Rattus norvegicus: one gene and its partner. The protein of the gene in region 1 interacts with the protein of each later gene in a pairwise test. Links are inferred from orthologs where the notes say so. Each region holds a gene or a part of one and is shown in the gene's direction. Other genes may lie near its edges.

Region 1 (12,419 bases):
TCCAGCACCCAGGCATTCTTAAATCATGTCTCAAGTCTTCCCACTGTTCTAACCACTGCCCTAGCCTACCTTCTTCCCTTACATAGCACAGGCACTTTACCTCCTGCTTCACAATTCAGTCTCCGTTAAACTACTGGCTCTTCAATGCTCCCCACAAAACCCCTTTGTCCACCCTCTCCCTTCTTATGCTGGCGTTGGCCACAGGTCCAACCTTCATCTACCCGCTCTGCCATCTCCTTCCTGCCCCTTTACCCCCTCTTCTCTGGAAACCTAAGTTTCTGCCATTTTTAAATCCTTTTTGTTCCAGTGCCGGGGCACCAACCTTTAAACAGGGGGCTAGAGACATGCTCAGCAGTTAAGAGTACTTGCTGCTCTTCCAAAAGATCAGGGTTCAGACTCTTAGGACTCACTAGGTGGCTGGCAACCATCTCTATATAACTCTGGTTCCAGGGGATTCAATGCCCTTTTCTGGCCTCTGTTCATGCCAGGCACACATGCAGTGCACAATGCAGGAAAAACACCCACACATGTAAGACAATCTTCTAAAAGTAAAGGCAAACATACCGTGTGCGTTTTAGACCCTTCTTAGCCCCAGCATGTTCTCAGCTTCCCACTCCCTCACTAAGTGCTGAAGCAGGGGTTCAGAGGCTCTTCCTTCGGGGATACTTGGGCAGCTGTCCTCTCCCTTCTACCAGACCATATGGGTTGCACAGGACCCCGCAGCTCCTGTCTGGTGCCTTCCCCTCCATCCACACACCTGTCTCTAGGCCTCAACTCTCACAAGACCAATCCAGTGTCAAGAGCACCCCAAATTCATCACAGCCAAACTTGAGATCATCAAGCTAAATCTTGTCTTTTCCTCCTGTGTCCCTCAGCTGGAAAGGAGTCCCAAAGAGCAGAAGAAAATGAGAAAAGGTGCAAAGGTGATATCCTCCCTTGGTCCTTTGCAGCTTATCTTCAAGCCTAAGGCCTACCCTGAGTCTCCCCAGACTACAGCCACCATTGTCCGCACCCACACACCTAGCACATTCCCTAAGGGTCTCTGAATGCCTCCATCAGGAAGAAGCTGGTAAGCTTGTTGACAGATGACTTACCATCCCCTCTAGGGCTTTTACACTTGGGAACCCCACATGGCTGCTGCTCCCTGAAGGTGTACCTCTTGCCTTTGGCACACAGGTTGCCCAGGCTGTTCAGATACAGTTGGCAGACTGCTTGGCTCCAAAGATGCTTCGCAGACCCTCTGCTATCTCAGGTACCCGTCTCTTCACTGTGCCGAGCCCGTCACTGCACTGGCTGCAGAACACTATACTTTTCTTTTTTTTTTTTTAAAAAGATTTATTCATGTATTATATATAAGTACACTGTAGCTGTCTTCAGACACACCAGAAGAGGGCATCGGATCCCATTACAGATGGCTGCGAGCCACCATGTGGTTGCTGGGATTTGAACTCAGGACCTCTGGAAGAGCAGTCAGTGCTCTTAACCGCTGAGCCATCTCTCCAGCCCAACACTATACTTTTCAAGGCCCCGTCTCAGTACTGATTCCATCTGTCCCTTCTCAGCAGTCCAGAGAGGGGAAGAAGGTGCCCAAGGTCCCACACAATGAGAGGTCACCCCTTAGCATGTGGCAACTCAGTCCCTAGACCACATTCCTTTCTTCAGTGCCCCAGACTCCTGTCAGACTCCCTGTTTTAACTCAATCACTGGCTGCCCCAACAATGTTCCTTCCTGCTGCCCCCATGTGGGGAGGTGGGGGGATGGGCAATACAGCCACGAAGCCCTGGACACAGGATGAAAAGAAACCAAAATCCTTTTTTTTTTTTAATAAATTTAAGAACAGTTCCATCTTTCTCTTCTCCCCAAAGCAACTAATACTAACTAAAAGAGCATATGGCCAGGGTTAAAGGGCGCTAGGAGTCATAATCCTCTTCGTCCTCTGCCTCAGGTGCTGAGGGGCCGGGAGGTGCTGGGGGTAAAGGCAGAGGAGAGGTGAAGGGCATGAAGGGAGTTGGAGGGCTGCAGGACAGAAAATGGAGAAAATCAGAGCTTGGAACTGTGCTGTGCCCAACCCACAGGCCCACCCCCATTCTCCAGAGACAGAAGCAGGTGTAGTCAAAGCCACCCATTACATCATGGAGACAACCCCCCTAGGAGGGAAGGTCCCAGCAAAGACCATTCTCCAGACTCTCTCCCCGACCCACTACCATGGAGGCAAGGCCTTCTCAGAACAATCTCTTGTGTTTAATAGTGTTCTCTCCCCTCCATTCCCTAAAGTCAGCCGCCGCCACCGCCGCCACCACCACCACCACCACCACCACCAATGGCTAGGGAAGTAAAACTAACTGGCTCTGGGGAGTTTGTTGTGCCTCTTTCTGGTATCCCTGGGGTGCTCACCTCTGAAAGTGGGCAGGGGGGTGACTGGCTTGGGGTGGGGCCTGTGGTGTCTCTTCTTCCCCATCTGTATCTGTGTCCTCAGACTCATCCTGTGAGCACAGCAAGGGTCAGGTTAATGAGAAGGTCTGGGCCCTTCTCTGGGGAGCCCAGAACCCTGGTAAGGCAATGGAGTTAGATACAAAGGCTGTAACAAGGATGAGACCAGGCCTTCCCCACCGGCCTCACTCACCTCCTGTTCTGAGTCTGTCCCGGACAGCTTTTTGTCTTTGCTTTTGCTTCCTGTGCCTCCATTCTTCCTGCCACTGCTGCCTGGTTTCCGGCCCCTTCGGGAAGGTACAGGCCATCTGCACAGAGGACTCTCTCCCCTTCTTCACCCCCCAGCCACCCCCAACCCTTGTGGCCTTGGCCTTTCCCACTTATATACCTGGTTTTGGTTACCCACCTTCGAGGACCCTTGTCCCCATCCGTGTGGTTGTCTTCCCCATCACCCTGCATGTCAGGCACAGATGCCACCAAGTCTTTCAAGAAGTCAAATTGCTGTTCAAGCTCAATGCACTGCTTCCTGTAGAAGTGGGAGAGGAAGGTGTTCAAAAAGGGCCCCCAAAACACTGATGTTCCGGAATCATAGAAACAACCTTTTCGTGTCAGTACAGTGGAACACCCCTCCCCACTTCCACCAGGCCTCCCGGGCGGGCGGCTTGGCTCTGGTTGTTCCCTCCACCTGAAACACCTTATCTCTCCTACATCAGTCCAAACCCACAAAGCTGGCCTCCCTCAGCAGCGCACCACTCCCCCTGTCAGAACACTGCCTCCTCAAAAGCCCAGCTTAGCGGCCACTCACAGGTGGGACGTGGTCATGGTTTTGGCATTTCGAGACTGGGTCACCTGGCAAGCCTTCTTCAACAGAGACTCCAGGAAGAGCTCAAGTGCCCGGGCTGAGGACGTCAAGGAGAATCCAAAAAGGGGAGTGCCGCAGTCCCGCCCCACGCCCCTCAGCCCAGCCAGCCCCTAGTAGGATACAGATGATGACAGGCACAGCTGCCGCCACCTTCCCAATCTCTTCGTCTGTCTGCATGATCTTCTTGATCCGCGCCTGCCGAGGGGAAGGGGACAGAGCTCGTCTCCTGCGTCTCTACAGGGGAGCTGAGTGAACCGGGGGGTATCCCAGGAGAAGAGGGCGGGGGGCACTAAGCCAGGAGGGCATGGAAGGGGCGGGGCGTCAGGCCATGAACACCTAAAAGCACCCGTCCCCCCACCAGCAGGACCTGGGCCCAAGCCTCCCAGGAACCTAGCCTGCAGAGGCCCATCCCGGCCACGTGCTCACCGGCGGAAACCGCGCGTTATACTTCTTCTTCTTGCTTGGCATCTCGGGGCCTCTCACGCTGCGCCGGGCCCAGCGCCGCCGCCCGCAGCCTCCAGGCCCCGGGCCTGTTCGCCGCCAGCCGGCCGCGGTTCCCCCCGGTCCTGGTGCCGCCTACTCCGCCCACACCACTTCTCGCAGGGTCCTAGTGCCGTTCGTAGAAAAGCAGCTCCCAAAACCCAAGCGCTGGGCTTTGGATCCTCTAGGGCGGTGCGCGTCCTTCTCAGGGATCGCCCGCCACGCCCACCCGCCCTCCAAGCTAAAGTACGAACGTTAGCTCCGCCTCCTGAAGACCTGCACCTCCCGGGATTCTCGCGCTGGCTCCGCCCCTGAACTCAGCCCGCCCCTTCCCCTGGAGCCCCCGCCCCTAGCCTTCTGGTTCCGCCTCTGGCCCCGCCCCGTGACTGTGTTTGTCTATAAAGTTGTTGTTGAGGTGGCGGGACCCTAAGATGGCGGCGGCGGCGGCGGCCGTGGCAGGGGCGGGGCGCGGCGGGGGTGGCGGCGCAGACCCCGGGCAGGAACGGAGCCGGGCCCGAAGTTGGGTTGGCGCGGAGCGGAGTGAAGGCCGGAGGTGACTGTGGGGCGACGAGAGGGCAGCCCGGGGGTGGAGGCAACCCTTACCTGTGAACACTAATGGCGGCGGGTGTGGTAAGGCTGGAGCCTGGTCCTCGCGCAGACTCTGTCCTATCAGGTTCGAGTCCGGATGTTGCCCATTGACCCCCAGATGGGCCGCTGTCCTCTCTGGGTCTCAGAGTCTTGGTGTTGATAAGTGTGCCCCAAATAGTTCACCATGGGAGGCCTGGCCCCTCTCCAGCCAGCCTCTGAGATTGGCGAACCTGCGTTTTGCCTACGTCCATTAAATTGCAGCGCCGCGCTACCTGCGAGACTCTAGTCCTGTGGTGTAGCAGAGTCCTGTGCCAGTTAACACTTAAGCTTTAACGGTCTTTACAGACATGACCTTGGGCAAGCCCCTTTTCTCAGAGTTTCAATTTCCTTGTTTTTAAGCAGTGAAAGTAGTACTGACAATAGCGACTCCACCTCAGGCATTTTATTCTAGAGACAAATCTAGACAGGATCAGTTGTTATCCCATTGTGAAGATGAAGCAACTGAGGCACAGACATTAAGACTTGCCCAAGGCCACAGTTAAAAGCAGTGCCTGGCACCCTCTAGGACCCAGTACTTTTTATTTACTGTCTCAAACTTCTGACTCAGTTCCCTCACAACAGGATGGAACCAAATGAAGAGCTGGAAGAGGAGGACTCTCCAGGTGGTCGTGAGGATGGCTTCACTGCTGAGCACCTGGCTGCAGAGGCCATGGCAGCTGACATGGACCCCTGGCTGGTATTTGATGCCCGTACTACACCTGCCACAGAGCTGGATGCCTGGTTGGCCAAGTACCCACCATCTCAAGTTACTCGCTATGGGGACCCAGGTTCACCCAACTCTGAACCTGTGGGCTGGATTGCAGCCTATGGGCAGGGTTACACCCCCAATTCAGGGGATGTACAAGGGCTGCAGGCAGCCTGGGAGGCTCTGCAGACCAGTGGGCGACCCATCACACCAGGTACCCTGCGCCAGCTGGCCATCACCCACCATGTGCTCTCCGGCAAGTGGCTGATTCACCTGGCACCTGGCTTCAAGCTGGACCATGCCTGGGCTGGCATTGCCCGGGCTGTAGTTGAGGGCCGTCTTCAGGTGGCCAAGGTGAGCCCACGGGCCAAGGAGGGTGGGCGCCAGGTCATCTGTGTTTACACGGATGACTTCACGGACCGCTTGGGAGTACTGGAGGCAGATTCTGCCATCCGTGCTGCAGGCATTAAGTGCTTGCTCACTTACAAACCTGATGTCTACACCTACCTGGGCATCTACCGAGCCAATCGCTGGCACCTTTGTCCCACTCTCTATGAGAGCCGTTTCCAGCTTGGAGGCAATGCCCGTGGCTCTCGAGTGCTGGATCGTGCCAACAATGTAGAACTGACCTAATGGGGCCAAGTAGGAGAGACCACCTTTTGCTTCCCAGCTGGGGATGGATCCTTCTTTCTTCTCTTCCTTGTCCCAAGAAGGCTGAGCTCCCTAGCTCTGAGGACTCATTGACTTGGGAACTGCCTGCACTCAGTCCCTTTGAACCTCTGTGCAGGGCCAACTCCAACCTCCACAGGTTTGGGGCTCTGGCTCTCTGAGGGCCAGGCCCTTGGCTGCCTCTTTGATGCTGCTCCCCACCACTGCCCAGGACCACAGCTTGGGTGCAGATACTCAAGAAAGTCTGCCCTGGCCACCTCTGTCCCTACTATACTTAGCCTGCATTCTTCCTTTTCTTTCCTCCCTCAGAAGGGAGAAAACTTAGTGCTTCCAGTCCCTGCCCTTGGAGCCATCATGGCCCAGGTGGCAGGACCCTTACAGGACTCAGCATGCTATTGGGACCCTAACGTGTTCTGGCCAAGAGGAGATGCAGGGTCGGACATGAGGTCTGCTCCTCCCTGCACACTCATAGCCTGCATCACCAATATTCCTTCCCTGGCTCCCTTGACATGTGCCTGCTCCTGGCATTTCAATAAAACCCAGCTTGGGTCTGTGTCTTGAGTGTTTTTTAAAAATACTGTCCTGATGGTTACCTGCATTGTCTCTCGAGAAAGACCAAGCTAGCCTTTTCCTCCCTCAGCAGTGAAGATGGTATGCTGCTTTGCAGAGGCCAGGCTCCACAGCTGAGAACCTCTTTAAAGCTGTTCTCCCTCTGTAACCCATGGATCAAAATCAGTTTCTTAGGTCTTTCCAGGGAGGCCAAGGGGGATATTCTTTTGGTCCCAAGGTATATTTATTTGTCATTTTATTTTATTAAGAAAAGGTCTCTTGGGTTCGGTCCCCAGCTCCGAAAAAAAGAAAAAAGAAAAGAAAAAAAAAAGAAAAAAGAAAAGGTCTCACTGTGTAGCCTCGGCTGGCCTGGAACTTACTATGTACCCTAGGCTGGCCAGTAACTCAGAAATTCATTTGTCTCTGCCTACCAAAAGTTCTGGGTTTAAAATCCTGCACCACCATCTCCAGCTTTTAGGTTTTAAAAAATTCTATTCATAGTGCCTTTAACCCCAACACTTGGGAGGCAGAGGCAGGTGGATCTTTATGAGTTCAAGGCCAGCCTGTTTAACAAGGTGAGTTCCAGGACAGGACAACCAGGGCTACCTACGTAAAAAGACCCTCATTAAAAAAAAATTCATAGCCTTTAATCCCAGCACTTGGGAGGTGGAGGCAGGTGGTTCTCTCTGAGTTCCAGGCTAGACTGGACTATACAATGAGACTCTATCTCAAAAGAGGTATGGGGGTGGGGCTGTCGACTGATTGAGCAATTAAGAGCAAGAATTATTCTTCCAGAGAGACCTTTATTTTGATTCCCACAATTCACATGGTGATTAGTAACAACCTCTGACTCTAGTTCCAGGGGATAAAATGACCTCTTCTGGCCTGTGCAGGCACTGCACACATGCTGCTCTGACATGCATACAGGCAAAACTCCCATTCATGGAAAAATGAATCTTTACAATTGAAAACAATAAAGCATACTTGGGGGTGTATGGAGGTTGTTTCGTCTCACATATTTGGGGGTCAGAGGACCATTAGAAGTCAGTTTCCGGGGGTTGGGGATTTGGCTCAGTGGTAGAGCGCTTGCCTAGGAAGCGCAAGGCCCTGGGTTCGGTCCCCAGCTCCAGAAAAAAAAAAACAAAAAAACAAAAAACAACAAAAAAAAAAAAAAAAAAAGAAGTCAGTTTCCGGGGTTGGGGATTTAGCTCAGTGGTAGAGCGCTTGCCTAGCAAGCGCAAGGCCCTGGGTTTGGTCCCCAGCTCCGGGGGGGAAAAAAAAAAAAAAAGTCAGTTTCCTCCATTGTATGGGAACCGAACATCCAGCAAGCAAGCACCTTTATCATCTGAACCACCTCAGTTGTTCAGACTTTTCCTTTTGTTTTTGTCCTTTTTTTTTTTTTTTTTTTTTTTGGTTCTTTTTTTCGGAGCTGGGGACCGAACCCAGGGCCTTGCGCTTCCTAGGCAAGCGCTCTACCACTGAGCTAAATCCCAACCCCTTGTTTTTGTCTTTTGAGACAGGGTTTCTCTCTGTAGTTCTGACTGGCTTGGAACTCAAGACTTTCGCCTGCCTCTACCTCCTGAGTGCTGGGATTAAAGGTGGGCACCACCACCGATCAGTTTGTCTTTTCATGTTTTCTTTATATGGCTCTGGCTGACCTGGAACTTGTTATGTAAACCAAGTTGGCCTTGGACTCAAGGCCTGACTCTGCCTCCCATGTGTTCATCTTGACTTAATATCCTCTGCTTACACTCTCTGAGTATTAGGGCTGCATGTGTGCACCATCACACCCAAGTTTATATAGTGCTGTCGTGGTTTATACAGGGACCAAGATTAAGCCCAGTGCCTGCTAGGCATTCTGCCAATGTAGCTGCATCCGCAGGCCCTCTCCTACAACTTTGGCCTTTTGAAACAGGGTTTTGTTGTGTAGCACAACTTGAGTTCTGATCTTCCTGCCACGGCTTCTTGAGTGCTGGGATTAACAGGTCTGATCCACCAAGTGTGTTTTGCAGGATTTAGATAAAGGCACTCTCCTTGCAGTTCCAGGTGGTACACATAGATTTCTAAAAAGATATGGGCTGGATTTCAGCATCCAGGGCTGGAGCAACCTAGCCAGTGACCAGCTTGAATATGCATGGACAGTTTTTCCAGAAGCCACTCAACAGTTTATAAAGAACTTTACACATGCCGTCCTCAGTTCTCAGGACCTCTTTAAGGAGATGCTGGCCACATCCTGCTGTCAAGGAACTGCTACCGTGTGGTGGTATAAGCCTTTAATTCCAGAACCAGCAGACAGAAGCAAACGAACCTCTGGGAGTTAGAGGACAGCCTGGTCTACACAGCAAGTTCAATGATAGTCCTAGCTACAAGTCCATCTCAATAAGGGAGGTGGGGGAGGGAAATTGAGGCCAAGAGGAGAAGGGATGATCTGGGTGATGGAGTTGGAGAGTAGAGCTGGGACTTGGCTCTGATCCTTCCCTTCTCAGGCAGTGTGGTCCTTGACCCTTGTTCTTGTCTTGACAAACACAACCCACAGAGCAGGATACTCATGTGATCTTTTCTCTTAGCCATCCTCTTCTCCATGACTGCTAGAGTTTCAAGGGCCCGGCTTGTGCACTGTCCTGTCTCCTCAGACCAGTGCCTTCCCAGGCCTTGGTCAAGGGCCAGAGGTGTTGGCAGAGAACTTGAGATGTTGCTCTCGTGCTGTGCCAGCGCTGAATCAGCCTCCAGCAGCCTCACTGAGTTGGAATTTGGAGCAGAGGAGCGGAGATGCCACTGGGGTGACTGGGTGGAAGTGGCTGAGTCATGAGTGCTAGCTTAACCCCCTCCCCAGCTGCCTCCCTATCCTGAGCCTCCCCAGGATTGAGTCCACCTCAGCCCAAACTTGGGAAATCCCCAGAGCTCAGAGTTGGAGCCAAGTGCCCTGCCTGCCTGATTGTCAGTGCTTTGTACTTGACAAAAGTGGGTCAACTCTCCCTAGGCAGAGGAGTGGCATCCTGGCAAAGCCTTGTGTTCTCACAAAGATGTCTATGTGGTATGGAAAGCCCAGGTTTTCTTTCTTTACAAAGTGACACATCCCTCTTCTGTATTTCTTTGGCCTTGCCTGGCCCCTTGCCCTTTCTCATTTTCTCTCAAACCACAACAACAGCCACTAACTTGGTTCTTCCACCCCACATCTCTGTCCTATCCCATAAGCCAGGTTCACAGATTCTACCATAGAGATGCCCACATTCCTGTCCTATTGGGATTCTACAGCAACTAAAAACAAGGTCTACTGTCCTGGGCTGGCATTGACCATGCCCCCAATAGCTTTCTCTGCTGTCCTTAGGCACATCTTCCTGTCTCTGCACCCAACTGAAGCCAACTGGAACATCTTTTTCCACCTTGGCATGGAGCCTCGGGCCTCAGGCTTTCTTTGTCCTTGAACACCTGCTGTGTGGTACCAATCACAGAATCTGCTGTTACTTAGCAATTGCCACTGGTCCCCAAACTACTGAGCCACAGACCCAGATTGTACTCTACTAAGGCAGGAGCACTGTCTACATTTCATCTCCCAGTGTAGAATAACGGCTTCAGAGATTATTAAACGAAAGAATTGCCTCAGATCCAGATACTGTGAATCCCACCTGTTGGATCTCTCCACTGTATCTTTCTTTGTTCATCTTTGCTCTAGAACACAGCTCTCCTGCCCATGTTCTGTCTTTTCCCACTTCAATGCCCTTGTTGATGGGTAGCCTCTGTTGGCATGCCCGACACCATCACCGCTAACTAATGGTACATCTCAGACCCACTAGTTCTCTAACCATGTGGCTCTCCCATGGGTGCCCTTCAACTATATGTCTGGAGACTCTTAGGGACAATAACTGGTTTATCCTCAGGGCACCTTCAGCATCCAGGTCAGAGTCAAGCTTGGTGCAATCACCAAATAACATTCTTGAATCCAAGGTGATTGTATGGAAGCCATACATTATCTAAGCTCCATTTAGTTCTTTTATTTTTAAATTATTTTATATGTATGGATGTTGTTCCTTTGACTATGCCTGTGTGCCACATGCGTTCTTATCCAGGGAAGTCAGAAGAGGATGTTGGATTCCCTACACTAGAGTTACACATGGTTTTGATCTGCATGTGGATGCTTGGAACCAAACTCGCCTCCTCTGGAACAGCCAGTGCTTAACTCCTGTGTGCCTTCTCTCCAGCCTCTAGCTCTGGTATTCTTACCATTTTTGCAGAAAGGGAAACAGAGTTCCAGAGAATTCCAGTTAATTGTCTCAAGGTTGCACAGCAAGCATATGGCAGAGCCAAGATTTGAACTCAGATCATTCAACTCTAGAGTACCTACTACATGGTTAAGTCTTGCTACTGAATGTGCTCTGAGGGTAGGGGTGCTACAAGAAGAAATATTGCCCTGCAAGGATATAAGATTCACTTGGGAAGTACACAAGGTAGGTTCTCAGAATTACTTGGAAGATAGGCTGGGCCCAAACACAGATTCCTTCGACAAGCTAAGGGTTTCCCAAAACCCTGGCTAGCAGGGCTTCTCTTGCATAGCTAGTTCCTGCCTACATGGAATTATGGAAACACTGGGTTGTGTAGGGGCTGGCCAAACTTGGGCAAGCCCCTCTGTCTGCTCCATTAATAAAACAGAGAGCTATGACTGAGGCTTGAGAGACAGAAAGACATACCCTGCTATGCATTCCTCAAACCCCTGGGACAAAGGGATATTCTAGGAGGGGGAGATTCTATTTGACCCCCAACTCCAGCTAGGACCTGGGGCAGAATTCGGGAATACAGGAAACAGCTGAATTGGGAGATGCTTCAACCAAAGCTTTGGCAGGATTTGGGGGATTTTCCTAGTAGGCCAGCTGCACCCCGCTCCTGCTGACTGGGAGGGGCCTTGGCAGGGATGAAGATTGGGTCACACGGCTGATTCACTGAGGAGGGAAACTCCCCACTTCTGTGACGTACATGCCCTAGGCACTGAAGGGTAAAGCTAAGGGCACTAGTCTGACAAACACTTTACCTGGTGTTTCTTTGGCCACTGGCCTCCTAGGAGGGTATAGGAAACCTGAGGTTGGGCAGGATGAGAAGGCAGGGGGCAGGTTTGTGAAGACAGCTTTCCAGGAAAGGAAACCAGAGATTGTGACTGGAATGAAGCCAGGTGTCCTTTCTTGTCTATTTTATGAATGAAACAACCAAGGCTCATCGTAAGAGCAAACATGTACACAGGCCTGCTCTGCATAGCACACACTGGCCACCTTACATTCCTCAGCTCACCTCACCCCCTCAACACTCCTTTATTAATGTGAAAACTGAGATCAAAAGATGCTAAGATGGGCTGGAGAGATGGCTCAGTGGTTAAGAGCACTGACTGCTCTTCCAGAGGTCCTGAGCTTAATCACAGCAACCACATTGTGGCTCACAGCCATCTGTAATGAGATCTGATGCCCTCTTCTGATGTGTCTGAAGACAGCTACAGTGTACTTATATACATAAGATAAATAAATAAATCTTTAAAAAAAAAAAGATGCTGGGGCTGGAGAGATGGCTCAGCGGTTAAGAGCACTGACTGCTCTTCCAGAGATCTTGAGTTCAATTCCCAGCAACCACATGGTGGCTCACAACCATCTGTAATGGAATATGATTCCCTCTCCTGGTGTGTCTGAAGACAGCTACAATGTACTCATATACATAAGATAAATAAATAAATCTTTAAAAAAAGATGCTAAGATGATCAAAGATAATCCAGGCAACTGAGAGGCAGAGGCAGAAAGGTTAGGAGTTCAAATCCACCTTTAGTTACACAGTGAGTGTGAGGCCAGCCTAGACTACATGAGATCCTGTCTCAAAACAAACGAGAAAGTGAAAATTGTCCAAAGCCAGGCTACCAATGCTCTTATAGCCCACACGACTAAGTATGTCTCCTACACTAGGGCATCAGGGCACTCTGTCTCTGGTCCTGGAGCAATTCTAGCTCCCAGAGTTAGAGGCCTCTTTAAGATGAAGTCTGAGGGGTTGGGGATTTAGCTCAGTGGTAGAGCGCTTGCCTAGGAAGCGCAAGGCCCTGGGTTCGGTCCCCAGCTCCGGGGGAAAAAA
Region 2 (12,527 bases), on another chromosome or scaffold:
TAAGGGGGGGTTGATGATTTAGCTCAGTGGTAGAGCGCTTGCCTAACAAGTGCAAGGCCCTGGGTTCGGTCCCCAGCTCCAAACAAAAGAAAAGAAAAAAAAATTCACAAAGGGCCAGTGAGAGGCTCAGCAGGTAAAGATGGTTGATACCAAGCTTGAAGACCTGAGTTTGTTCCCACATGGTGGAAAGAAAGAACCAACTCTCACAAGTTGTCCTTTGACCTCCATATGAATGTTGTAGTTCCCCTTGTCCCTGTCCCTCTTCTTGTCCCTGTCCATGTCCCTGTCCCTGGTGTCTCTCTCTCTCTCTCTCTCTCTCTCTCTCTCTCACACACACACACACACACACACACACACACACACACACACACACAAAATGTAACTTCAAATAAAAACCCAGCAGAAATACTAAAAAGTAATGTAAAAAGTAATGTGGGGTCACCCAGCTGGTAGAGTCACACAGTGCAGTCTGAGAAACCCTGGTGAATGTCCTCATCTTCCACAGAGAGCTCTTACACACGCTGAGTGGTGTGTGCATTGCTCTTTCTCTAGATGCAATTGAGAGACCTGGTAAACAAGATGTATGAGAATGCTGTTGGCCGAACACCAAGACACGTTTCACAGGAAACAACTGTTTATATACACACTCTAAAATTAGGACAAAATGGGCTGGAGAAAGGTCCCAGTGGATAAGAACTCTTGCTGCCCAGTCAGGAGGATCTGACTGATGTTCAAATTGTCTGCATCCGGCTAAAAGGCCAGGCATGTCAGAGCATGCTGTAGCTCTACCATTGGGGGCCGAGGGGCAGCAGAGGCAGAAGGGTCTCTAGTGACAGACTAGCTCCAGGTTAACTGAAAGAGCCTGTCTCAAGAAAATGAGCCAGGGGGTTGGGGATTTAGCTCAGTGGTAGAGCGCTTGCCTAGCAAGCACAAGGCCCTGGGTTCGGTCCCCAGCTCCGAAAAAAAAAAGAAAAAAAAGGAGAGAGAATGAGCCAGAAAGTGACAGAGCAGGACAGAGGGACCTTGTCTGACCTTTGCATCTGCCCCTCTCCCATACACAAACAAATTTTACTGAAAGTTTTAAAATGCTGAAGAAGGGAGCTGGAGAGATAGCTCGGCAGTTAAAATCACTGACTGCTCTTCCAGAGGAGCCCATGGCAGCTCACCACCATCTGTAACTCCAGTCCCAACGCATCCAACACCCTCTTCTGGCCTCTGAGGTCACTGTACCCACATGACACACAGACGTACCATGCAGGCAAAATACCCATACACATAAAAAAAGAAAATAAAGGGGGCTGGGGATTTAGCTCAGTGGTAGAGCACTTGCCTAGCGAGCACAAGGCCCTGGGTTCGGTCCTCAGCTCCAAAATAAATAAATAAATAAATAAATAAATAAATAAATAAATAAAGTTAACAAGAATACTGGCTATAGTGAAGGGTTACTTAATGGATCATAGGGGACTCAAAGGCAGCCTATCACCAAAAAGTCACTCCCTCCTCTGCATGGATGACTCACAAAAGCTACATCATGGAAGCTTCCTGAAAAACCCGCAGGCAGCTCACCTTGTCCAGAATCTTCTCTCCCTAGCAATTGCGACTGCTGTTGCAACTGAACATAATCTGGCCAGTGGGGCGGGCTTGCAAAAGTTCTAAGTTTCAGGAGCTTCCGGGAATCTTCGAAGGCTTCCTCCCCTCTCTTCCTCCCTCAGTTCAGAGGCAATAGCTACACAATGACCAATGACAGGAGTTTGGCTTCATCTGTGAGCTACTATGTATCCGAGAGTAGTTTGTTACACTGTTTTCTTTGACACATAGCCCACATCTCCAAGTTCAGATGGTCCTACCTCACTAAGGCTCCTAGCATGCTAGATCAGCACTCTAACAAGCCACATCCTAGCCCCACACACAGCACTTTGGTTTTTGAACCGTGGTTGGTTCACTTACAGCCTCTCCACAAACAGGAGGCATGAGTTCGGTTACCATAGGGACAGCATCCTCAGGTGATAGGAGTTTTTCAGGCTTTGTTCTAAGCCTATAGGACCATTGGGAATCAGCTACATGGTTCAGTGTGGGCAGGCCCATCACTGTGCAGTGAATGATTAGAGTAGCTAGCTTCACCAGACAACAACTGACAAGCAAACTATACCTGAGGGCCCGAGACATGACTCACTGGGTAATGGTGCTTTCCACCAAACCTGATGGATGACCCGGGTTCCATCCCTGGAATCCGTGTAACATGGCAGGTGTCACGAATCTGTAATCCCAGCATCGTTGTGGTAAGACGAGAGGTAGAGAAGGCCTTTGCAACAGCGAGAGAGAGAGAGAGAGAGAGAGAGAGAGAGAGAGAGAGATCGATCCTGACTCTGTAGTGTGAAAGGACAGACTTGTTCTGTGTTCCCTCCCTCTCTCTCTCTCCCTCTCTCCACACACACACACATGTACCAGTAAATTTTAAAAACTAATAAAAATTGTAATTTTTTAAAAAACATTAAGACAATAAGCCAGGCAGTGGTGGTGTAGGCTGTATGCTGTTAATCTGTTAATCCCAGCACTCCAGAGGTGGAGGCCGGCAGGCAGATCTCAACTTCGAGGCCAGTCTGGTCTACAGAGTGAGTTTCAGGTCAGCAAGGGCTACACAGAACCCTGTATCAAAACAAACAAACCAAGCAACACTAGAAGCAAAGACCAATAAGATGTCTCAGCAGGGAAAAGCACTTGTCACCAAGCCTGACCTGAGTTCAGTCCCCAGGGTCCATACCACAAGAAGAAAAAACCGAGTTCTGAAAATTGTTCTCTAACCATACATACACTTTGACATGTGCACTACTTCCCCTCACACACAATAAATGGATTAATTTATTAGATAAATAGTCAGAAATGGGGCTGCATGCCTTTAATCCCAGCACTCTGGAGGCAGAGGCAAATGGATCTCTGAATTTGAGTCCAGCCTGGTCTAGAGTGAATTCCAGGACAGCCAGGACTACACAGAGAAACCCTGTTCTGAAAACTAATTCTTCCCCCAAAAAAATCCAGGTCTACATCCCTAGGTCCAAACAAGCAAACAATAAAAACAGCAGAAGACAATAAAAGCCTGAAGATGTGCCTCCGGGCTAGAATGTTCCCAAAGTCTAAGGTTCTTGGTTCAACACTCAATACTGACGGCTTTGAAAAGAAAATTCTCTGAGGGCAAGCAGAATGGCTCAGTGTACAAAGGGACTTGAGTCAGATCCCAGGGTCCCAAATGGGAAAAAGAGAAAATCCGCTCCTGCGCCTTGCAAGGCGTTTACTCCCCAGCAGAACACCTGCGCTACCCTCCAGTGCCCTACCCCGTACGCTAAGCAATTATATGCAGAAAATTAAATCCACGTGGTATTTATAATTGTTACTTTATCTACCTCAGTTTGGTAAGACAGGGCTCCCTTTGTAGCCCAGGCTGACTGGAATTCAATCTGTAGTCCGGGCTGGCCTCAAACCTAAACCAATTGCCCTTCGAGTCTCCTGATTGATAACCTAATGCCACCCTTGATTTCTACAGGGTTCTTTTTTCTTTTTTCTTTTTCTTTTTTTTTTTTTTCGGAGCTGGGTACCGAACCCAGGGCCTTGCACTTGCTAGGCAAGCACTCTACCACTGAGCTAAATCCCTAACCCTACAGGGTTCTTTTAAATTGCAACTACTATACCTTGGAACACTCCAAAATATTTTAATCTCCATCAGAAACCCCAGAAAGCCCTAGAATCACTTATTCTCACGTGGTGGCCATCCTTGCTACTTTGAGAAGATGCAATGCAAATCAGGATTCTCGATGGGCTTTTTGATTATTATTTATTTATTTATTTTAAGTACACTGTAGCTGTCTTCAGACACACCAGAAGAGGGCATCAGATCTCTTTACAGATGGTTGTGAGTCACCATGTGGATGCTGGGAATTGAACTCAGGACCTCCGGAAGAGCAGTCAGTGCTCGTAACCGCTGAGCCATTCCTCCAGCCCGTGGCTGGGCTTCTTGTGGTTATTTTATTTTGTATGTGTGGATGTCTTCCTTGCATGTATGTCTGTGTACCTCATGTGTGCCTGATACTCTGAGGCTAGAAGAGGTTGTCAGATCCCCCTGAAGCTGAGTTACCATTTGGGGCTGCAATGGGATTGGGTGGGTGCTAGGAATTGGAATGAAGTCCTCTGGAACAGTAGACAATGTTCTTTTTTTTAAGGTTTTTTTTTTTTTTTTCTGGAGCCGAGGACCGAACCCAGGGCCTTGCGCTTGCTAGGCAAGCGCTCTATCACTGAGCTAAATCCTCAAACCCAGTAGACAATGTTCTTAACCTCTCCAGCCTCTGGGTTTTGTTTTGTTAACATTCAGAGGTTCTCCTTCTCCTTGGTTTTTCAAGACAATGTTTCTTTGTATCCCTGGCTGTCCTGGAACTCACTCTGTAGAGGAGGCTGGCCTCAGACTCATAGATCCACCTACCTCTGCCTCTAGAATGCTGGGATTAAAGGCCGTTGCTAACACTGCGTGGGTTAGGAGTCATTTCTCTGGAGCTGTCCACCTTGGTTGATTTTTTTTTTTTTTTTGAGATAGGGTCTAAATACCTAGTCCTTACTAGCGTGTGTGTGTGTGTGTGTGTGTGTGTGTGTGTGTGTGTCTCTGTGTGTGTGTGTGTGTGTGTGTGCTATAAATGTAAAAGACAGTGCAAGCAAAACATGAAGAGAGAGATCACACCCCAGTTCTTGTGTTGAGGTCGGAAGACAACTTGGAGTCAGTTCTCTCCTGCCACCATGTGAATCGGGGGATCACACATCCTCACTCCCTGAGCTGCCCTGAACACCTTCAAAGTTTCAGAACAGAGACTTCTGCAAAAATAAAACGTATCTAATCTCTTATTCATTCAACTGCAAACAGTCTATATCCTCATCTTCACCACCCCTCCCCAATACCCAGACAAAGAATACAATTTGTTTTGTCTTTAAAATTTATTTTATTTTGGTTTTGTGAGACAGGATCTTTCCACATAGCCCTGGCTGGCTTGAAATTCCGTATGTGATCAAGGTGGCCTTGAACTCAGAGATCCACTTGTCTCTGCCTCCTCAATACAGGAACTAAAGGTGTGCACCATCATTATTTTGGCCAGATTGACCTCTAATTACAGTCTTGATCTACTAGTCTGGGTCTCCCTAGAATAGGGATTACCACCATGTCCAGTTTGTAGCAGTTCTAAAAAACAAAGATATTTCCCTTCATCTCATCTTGTACACACACACACACACACACAAACACACATTTTCACTTACAAGCCTTCTTCTGCCCTTGGTCATCTAGGGATCTCTACCTAGAACACGTTGTCTTCGTTTAAGCTTTACCCAGCGACATTTGTCCTGAAGAACTGTGTCCAAGTGGGACCAAGTGGGGCAGACCTAGAGCACCTTAATAAATCTAAGGTGATACCAGAGAGCCCAACATAATGGCACACTATCATCCTAGCCCTTGGGAAGTGGAGAGAGCAAAAAACCAGGGGTTCAAGGTCATCCTCAGCTCCAGCGCTCCAGCTCCGGCCCAGCATGGGCTCCACAAAACCCAAACTGAATCTAGTGATCATTAGAAAGCAGCGTGCAGGGTGACAGACAATGCCAGAGAGGTAGGTGACCACAGGACAGGGCGGGGCAAGGACAGTAAGAGGCAACCACGCGTGAAACCTTCAAGCTAGCACACAATGGGCCTCGGAGGGCAGAGCGTGCGCGCGGCGCTCCGGGGGCTGGCCGCCCCACCACGTGGGCCGCAGAGCGCGCCGGGGCCAGCAGCGGGCCCCGTCGGCCCAAGGCCGGGCGCGGCGGCGCGCGCATGCGTGCGTGCGATTTGCGATCAGGCAGCGCGGCGGACAGCCCCGGTAGCGGGGCGGGAGGGGGGAGGAGGAGTTATATTGCGGGGTCCTTCCTCGCTGGCCCGCTGGTTCCTCAAGGAGCGGAGACGGCAAATGGCGGACTTCGATACCTACGACGATCGGGCCTACAGCAGCTTCGGCGGCGGTAGAGGGTGAGGCGGGCGGGGCGCGGTTTGGCAGGCTGGCGGCTCCGCCGGGCGGAGTGCCGGGAGGTTCGAAGGGGACGGCCTTGCCGCGCTCACTCGAGACGGGCGGCGGGAAGCGGCCTGACCAGGCCCGAGGAGAGGCCTGGAAATGGCGCGCTCCGGGAGCGGCTGGCGACGGTTAGGCTGCCGGGCTCTAGCTTGCTCGCGGCGCACATCCCTCCCTCGGCTCCGCGCCGCACATTGCGAGGCCTCGCTCCGAAAGTTAGACCGCAGCGACGCCGGAGGGTTTCCCGGGGAAACCAGCGCCCGCGTCCAGCTTTATCCTCAGCGCGCTCCGGGCTGGGCTGCAGCACGGAAGCGGGCGGCGGCGGCCTGTCCCTCTCCAGGGTCCCTGCTGCTCGGCCGGGCCCCTGGGTTGCTTCTACGTGAAGCCCGCGGGCCGCGAGAGGGGTGATTTCCCTTCCAATTGGCGTCTGGATCCTGGGACCGTCGGATCCACCGAGAGAGACAGGGAGCGCGGACCTCAACCAAAACAAATACACCGTAGTGGGGAGTGTGCGTGTCTCTTTCTCTCAGCCTCCTTGGCGTTTAGAATGCCTTATTGACAGATACTACGTGTCTGCTGGCGGAAATTGTTGATTTCTTCCTAGTTTCTTCCCTGACCTGGAGAATCGCTTTCGCTTCGTTCTGATTCTGGTCAGATACAGACAACATACTTTAAAACCAATCCTCCAACCTCCCCCAATCCTTTACTGATGAATAGAAAGCTCTTGGTGCATAATTCCAAAAAACCAGCGTCGGGTATTTTGTTCACTTTTAAATAACACGTTACCAGCTGGGGTTGTGGCTCAGTGATAGAGCGATTGTCTAGCATGTCCTAAGTCTTGGGTTCGGTCTCCTGCCAAACAATAGAAATAAACAAGCGGCAGCCACTTGCTTCAAGAAAAGAAAGACGCTTATAGGAGTTTTATGGGACAGTCAGTTTAAGCGTCTTATTTCTCAAGGACACACTTGGCCTTTATCCTTTTTACAGAAAAGGTGACTTGCCCAGAGAATATCCCTGTAGTTTTACTGAGGTGTTAGGTTTCCAAAGTGGCTGCCCCCAAAGTGTCTTTTGTTAGGTGAAGAATGATCATCATTAAATACCCGGGGTTGAAAATGAGTCACCGTCTTGTTTGGTTGCAGTAGTGTACTGGGTACTATTCATGCTTCCTTAAGGAAGAAGTTCAGGGTAAGGTGGAGCCACACATTTTATTTGCTAATAAAAATACAAATAGGTGTTAGGTGAAGTGTTACCATGAATGCCCTTGGGGATAGCTTTCTAGGTATAGGTTTGTACTAACTTGCTGTTGGAATTTTTTTTTTTTTTTAAGATAGGGTCTTTAGTGGGTATGTAATTCTGGCCAACTTAGAACACACCATGTAGATCAGGCTGGCCTGGAGCTGAACCCACCTCTGCCTTCCCAGTGGTGGGATTAGAGGCCTGAGCCATCTTGTTCAGTTTGGGTTGGGTTGGGTTTGGTTTGGTTTTTCTCTACTAGTTTGAAAAAAGTAAATGTACTCAAGGGTTCTTTTTTCCTCCCCAGATCCTAGTGCTATAGAGGTTGGGGCATGAGAAACTCAAGTTTTAAATCTCAAAGGGGAAGAAAACTGCCTTTGACTTAGCACGTGCCACAGTTGAGACGTTTGAATAATTTTAAAACATCAGAAGTAAACAAATTCAAATCTCTCAAAATGCAACTCATTTGAAATACTTACAGGCAGATGAAAATGTTAGCCATCCTCTCAGATGTTCTCTCAAAGCTAATTTGAGAGTCTTAACACTCTTAAAGCATCCCTTAAAGCTGTTTTGAAAGTCCCTTTACTTATTAACACCTCTTTGAACTGAAATTTTCAAGCTGGCTTTGTTCTGTTTCTCTTTTGGGGATAGGATCTCACTATGTAGGTAGCCCTGGCTGACCTTGAAAAACAGATTTGCCTGCCTCTACCTTCAAGCACTGGATTTAAAGGCCTGCACCACTGTACCAGGCCCTTTGGCTGGCTTCTTGTCACTTGGAAGTACGTTTCTCAGTGACTTTGTACTGCTCACTCATTTATTGATAGGAGGCTTTTGCCCACATGTGTCTCCTTTCCTGGTGTCTAAAGAGGCATGTCTGGGATGAGTTGTGAACCACCCTTAGGTACTTTGGTAGAACAGCTGATGCTCTTGGTAAGAGCTGCGCCATCTCAGTTTCTTTATAATCCTGCCTGTCTTGGAACTTGCTGTGTAGACCAGGCTGGGAACTCAGATACTCCTGCCCCTGCCTCCTCGGTGCCCCCTGTGCACAGCCCCCTCTTCTGTTCTGTTTTAGGTAGGGTCTCTTGTAGCCTAGCTTGTGGTACACTCACTAGGTAGGATGACTTTGAACTAACTCTGTCTGCCTTTCGGTGCTTGGTTACAGGCTCAGCACACAGGTGCTCCCTTTCTCTTTGTCTTGTGTGTGAGGGGATGTCTGATGTTTGTTTTTTGAGATGGTCTCTCTGGAGCCTGAGGCAGGAGGATTCCAAGTGAAAACAAGATTATTACTGAGTATTTTATGTCTTACAGAAGAGCAGATCCGCTTCTGCTGGCTTGTTTTGCATGGATTTTTTGTTTTGTAGCCCTTTGTTCCCCTCACCTGCTCAACTGAATATTGAACCAGGGCCTGTTCTCCACTCTGAGATGTACAGGATGGTAGAAGAGGTGACTAGATATCTTTGATCTTTAAATTGCTGTGTTAGTAATGTTCTATCAGCAGTTATATTTGTGCTGTGCAGCACTTAAACCTTATAGGTGCCTCAGCACATATTGGGAGGCCCTTCTTATATTTTTGGTTGTGAGCCTTTAACGGCTGAGCCATCTCTCCAGCCCTGGGAGGCCCTTCTTAATCATTTGTGTGAGGTCCTCTCCTCTGGTCCAGAGCATGAGGCGATAGCTATGGCCTAAGCCTGGCTTTCGGAGTTATATATTCTCCAAAAGCTCCCCCCCCACCCCCCGGAGCTGGGGACCGAACCCAGGGCCTTGCGCTTCCTAGGCAAGCACTCTACCACTGAGCTAAATCCCCAACCCCTCTCCAAAAGCTTTTATTAAAGCCTCAAGATCATCTCATTGTGTGGCCTAGTTGGCTTCAAACTTTTTACAATGTTCCAGAGCTCTTGCCTCAGTCTCTGTCCTCCCAATTTCTGGGATTCTAGTCACATGCCTCTCTGGAAGGACACAAACCTGTTTTGTAGATGTGTTGTGGTCCTGCAGTTGTCAGGAAGTGAGGACTAAGAACTTGGCTTTCTCCTCAAGCCTACCCATGTGCGGATCCATCCTCAGCCTGGACCAAGGGCCAGGAACTGCATTGTTCTCAAGCAAATCAAAACACAGTTCCAAATCCTCGGGAGTTGATTGTACTGACTCTTAAATGGACTTTGTTTTATGGGGTTGTTTGTTTTGTTTTTTGAGACAGTATTTTTAGTCCTGTTCCTGGAGCAGCGCTAACATTAGAGGTGGGCAACAATACATCCAGGTTGGTCTTGTTCTGTGGATCCCTGGCTTACCTCTTGCTCTTCAGTGCTGCCATGCTTCCAGGAATGGTGGGTGCGCACCATCAGGCTGGCTCCTAAATTGTCTTTTGGGAACTCCCAATTTTGTTGTTTGGGTCTGGGTTTTTTTTTTTTTTTTGTTTTGTTTTGTTTTTTTTGTTTTTTGTTTTTTTTGGAGCTGGGGACCAAACCAGGGCCTTGCGCTTGCTAGGCAAGCACTCTACCACTGAGCTAAATCCCCAACCCCTGGGTCTGGGTTTTTAATTTCATGTATGTTGAGTATTCTTGTGAAAGTGTATGTCTCTGCATCATGTTTGTACATACAGTGGCCAGAAAGAAGATACCAGATCCCTTACAGCTGAAACCACAGACAAATGTGACTGCTTGGAATCAAACCCAGGTCCTCTGGAAGAGGTGCTCATAACCCTCTCAGCTCTCCAGCCCAGAGTTTCTGGTTTTGTTGGTCATTAACCATATAAAATGCAAGAAATGGTTTTACATTTGAAACATTTTCGTAACATTTTACATTTGCAACAAAGGCTTCTGGGCGCCTAATTGGAAGCCATCAAGCAGGAGAATTAGATGGAACGAATGTCAGTCTCAAGGACTGAGATTGTTGAAAATGTGTCTGCTAGAAATTGTTGAAAGTACGAATTGAAGTATTTATTCCTGGGCTTGATGTGGTGACATGAGTTGTCTATCCTAGCTGCTCTGTATTCTTTTTTTTTTTTTTTTTTTTCCCGGAGCTGGGGACCGAACCCAGGGCCTTGTGCTTCCTAGGCAAGCACTCTACCACTGAGCTAAATCCCCAACCCCTGCTCTGTATTCTGAACTAAAAGGATGACTTTGGACAACATGGTTAGACTCTGGCTCCAAAACAGACAATAAGGACTAGAGGGAAAAATGTAATTTCTTGGCTGGGCATGGTGGAAGTGGCAAATGCCTTTAAACCCAGCGCTTGGGAGGCATAGGCAGGTGGAGCTCTCTTAAGTTTGAAGCCAGCCTGGTCTCCAGGAGGCTTTACTTTCTTGACAGGATCTCATTCTGTGGCCATGGCCATCTTGAGACAGACAGACACAGTTCACAGATACTGCATGGCTCTGCCTTCCCAGGGCCTCACTAGATTGATTATGTGTTAGGAATGACTTGTCTGTGTGTGCATGTGCTGGTGTCAGATCAGAAGAAAGTGTTCAATTCCCTGGAACCCCATTATGATAGCTGTGGATGCTGAAATGGAGCCCTGGTTCTCTGCAAGAGCAACAAATGCTCTTAGCCAGCTGCTCCATCACCGGCCTTGAATTTTCTTTATAATTAGTGTAATTATCAGTGACATAAATGAGTAGTTACAAATAACTGATAAGGAATTTTTGTGTGGGAGCTGGGGGTGCAGCTCATTTAGGAGTGCACCTGGCATGTATGAAGCCCAGGTTCCATCCCCAGCACCAGGTAAATCACCTGGTGTGTGTGTCTAATCCCAGCACTTGGGATGGAGGGGCAGAAGTGTCAGAAACTCAAGGGCCTCTGCCATGTAGCTAATAGCTAGAAGCCAGCCTAAGATGTGTGGACTTGTCTCAGAAACAGTAAAGAGGCACCAGGCTGTCATCTTGAGTGTGCTGCTGTGGTTGACACCTGAGGAAGGACATCCAGGAGGCTGTTCTCAGGCCTCTCAGTGCTAGCATTCAGAACACTCCTGTAAGCTGAATGGATTCTTCCCAGGGTATTCCTATGGAACATATATTTGGTTGATTTTTGTTGTTAATGTGTTGTTTGGTTTTGTTTTTTGTTTTGAGAGTTTCTCTGTGTGGCCTTGGCTGCTCTGAAACTCACTATGTAGATACAGACCTCAAACTCGGACAGATCCTGCCTCTGCCTCCCTGGTGCTTGGATTAAAGGTTTGACTCACCATCCCAGATGCGTTTGGGATTTTGAAATTTAGTAACAGTCTGTAATTGCAGATGCTGACACGCCTCTTTACACAATGTCCCCTAAATGCAATGATGTCTGAAGTCAGTCTAGTATCAAGGTTTCCAGCCCATCAGTAATGGGAGGTGGTCCTACTCTTGTTGATAGACAAGTCTTTCTCCTCCCCAACCCCCTCTTTTTTTTTTTTTTTTTTTTTGGGGGGGGGGGTTCTTTTTTTCGGAGCTGGGGACTGAACCCAGGGCCTTGTGCTTCCTAGGTAAGCGCTCTACCACTGAGCTAAATCCCCAGCCCCCCCAACCCCCTCTTAAAATGATTCGCCTGAGATCGGTATGTAACCTAGGCATGAGCATGACCTTGAACTTCTGATCACCCTGCTCCAACCTCAAGCACTCCAGTTGCAGGAGTGGCATAATCCGAACTTCCTCTCCACCCCACCCCCACCCCCGAACCCCCAGCTGCATGGTAGGGTGGGCATCATCTACATTGGGTTCTGTGTATGTGTGCAACCCCAGCTTCAGGATGAGTGTAGGCTGTAAGGTTTAGCTAAGTGTGGAGTGTTGGGGATCATCAGAACCTATGCAGGGCTAGTCAGAAGGGAGGGAAGGCAGGAAGAAAGGTGAGAGTTGTATTTGTTGGCTTTTTGTGATGTGTAGCCCTGACTGGGATAGGAGGTGGGTGCTAATGTACCCAGTCCTTTTGTTTTGTGAGTCTGGGTTTCTCTATGTAGCCTTGGCTGTTGTCTACTCTGGCCTCAGAGGTCCACCTGCCTCTCTGTGTGTGCCACCACTGTGTGCTCAGCACACCCAGTCTTCTTAGAAGTGTGTGTGTGTGTGTGTGTGTGTGTGTGTGTGTGTGTGTGTGTGTGTGTGTGGTTTATATGAATCACCAAAAATAAATGAAGACTAGTGAGCTCACTATATAGACCCAGCTGTTATGAACACACAAAAATCTGAACTCCCATCTGCCTGTCTCTGCCTCATCGGTGCTGGGGATAACGGGGTGTGCCAACACACGTGGCATACTTAATTATGAG

The links.
Region 2: the proteins of Bles03 (region 1) and Eif4h interact in binary tests that used the Homo sapiens proteins (3 or more experiments, as listed by UniProt). The two-hybrid records come from large-scale screens. The link is inferred for Rattus norvegicus from reciprocal best matches to the Homo sapiens genes C11orf68 and EIF4H.

Annotation. Positions count from the first base shown.
Region 1 is NC_086019.1:212,159,798-212,172,216, forward strand, and holds Bles03 (UPF0696 protein C11orf68 homolog), read left to right. Parts: upstream 1-4,094; 5' UTR 4,095-4,203; coding exon 4,204-4,325; intron 4,326-4,967; coding exon of another isoform or gene 4,968-4,981; coding exon 4,982-5,738; 3' UTR 5,739-6,349; downstream 6,350-12,419. Other genes in the region: Drap1 (dr1-associated corepressor), read right to left, coding at 1,911-2,016, 2,395-2,483, 2,624-2,738, 2,837-2,956, 3,236-3,329, 3,415-3,487, 3,719-3,760.
Region 2 is NC_086030.1:27,713,761-27,726,287, forward strand, and holds the start of Eif4h (eukaryotic translation initiation factor 4H), read left to right. Parts: upstream 1-5,931; 5' UTR 5,932-5,969; coding exon 5,970-6,028; intron 6,029-12,527. UniProt on the Homo sapiens protein: Stimulates the RNA helicase activity of EIF4A in the translation initiation complex. Binds weakly mRNA.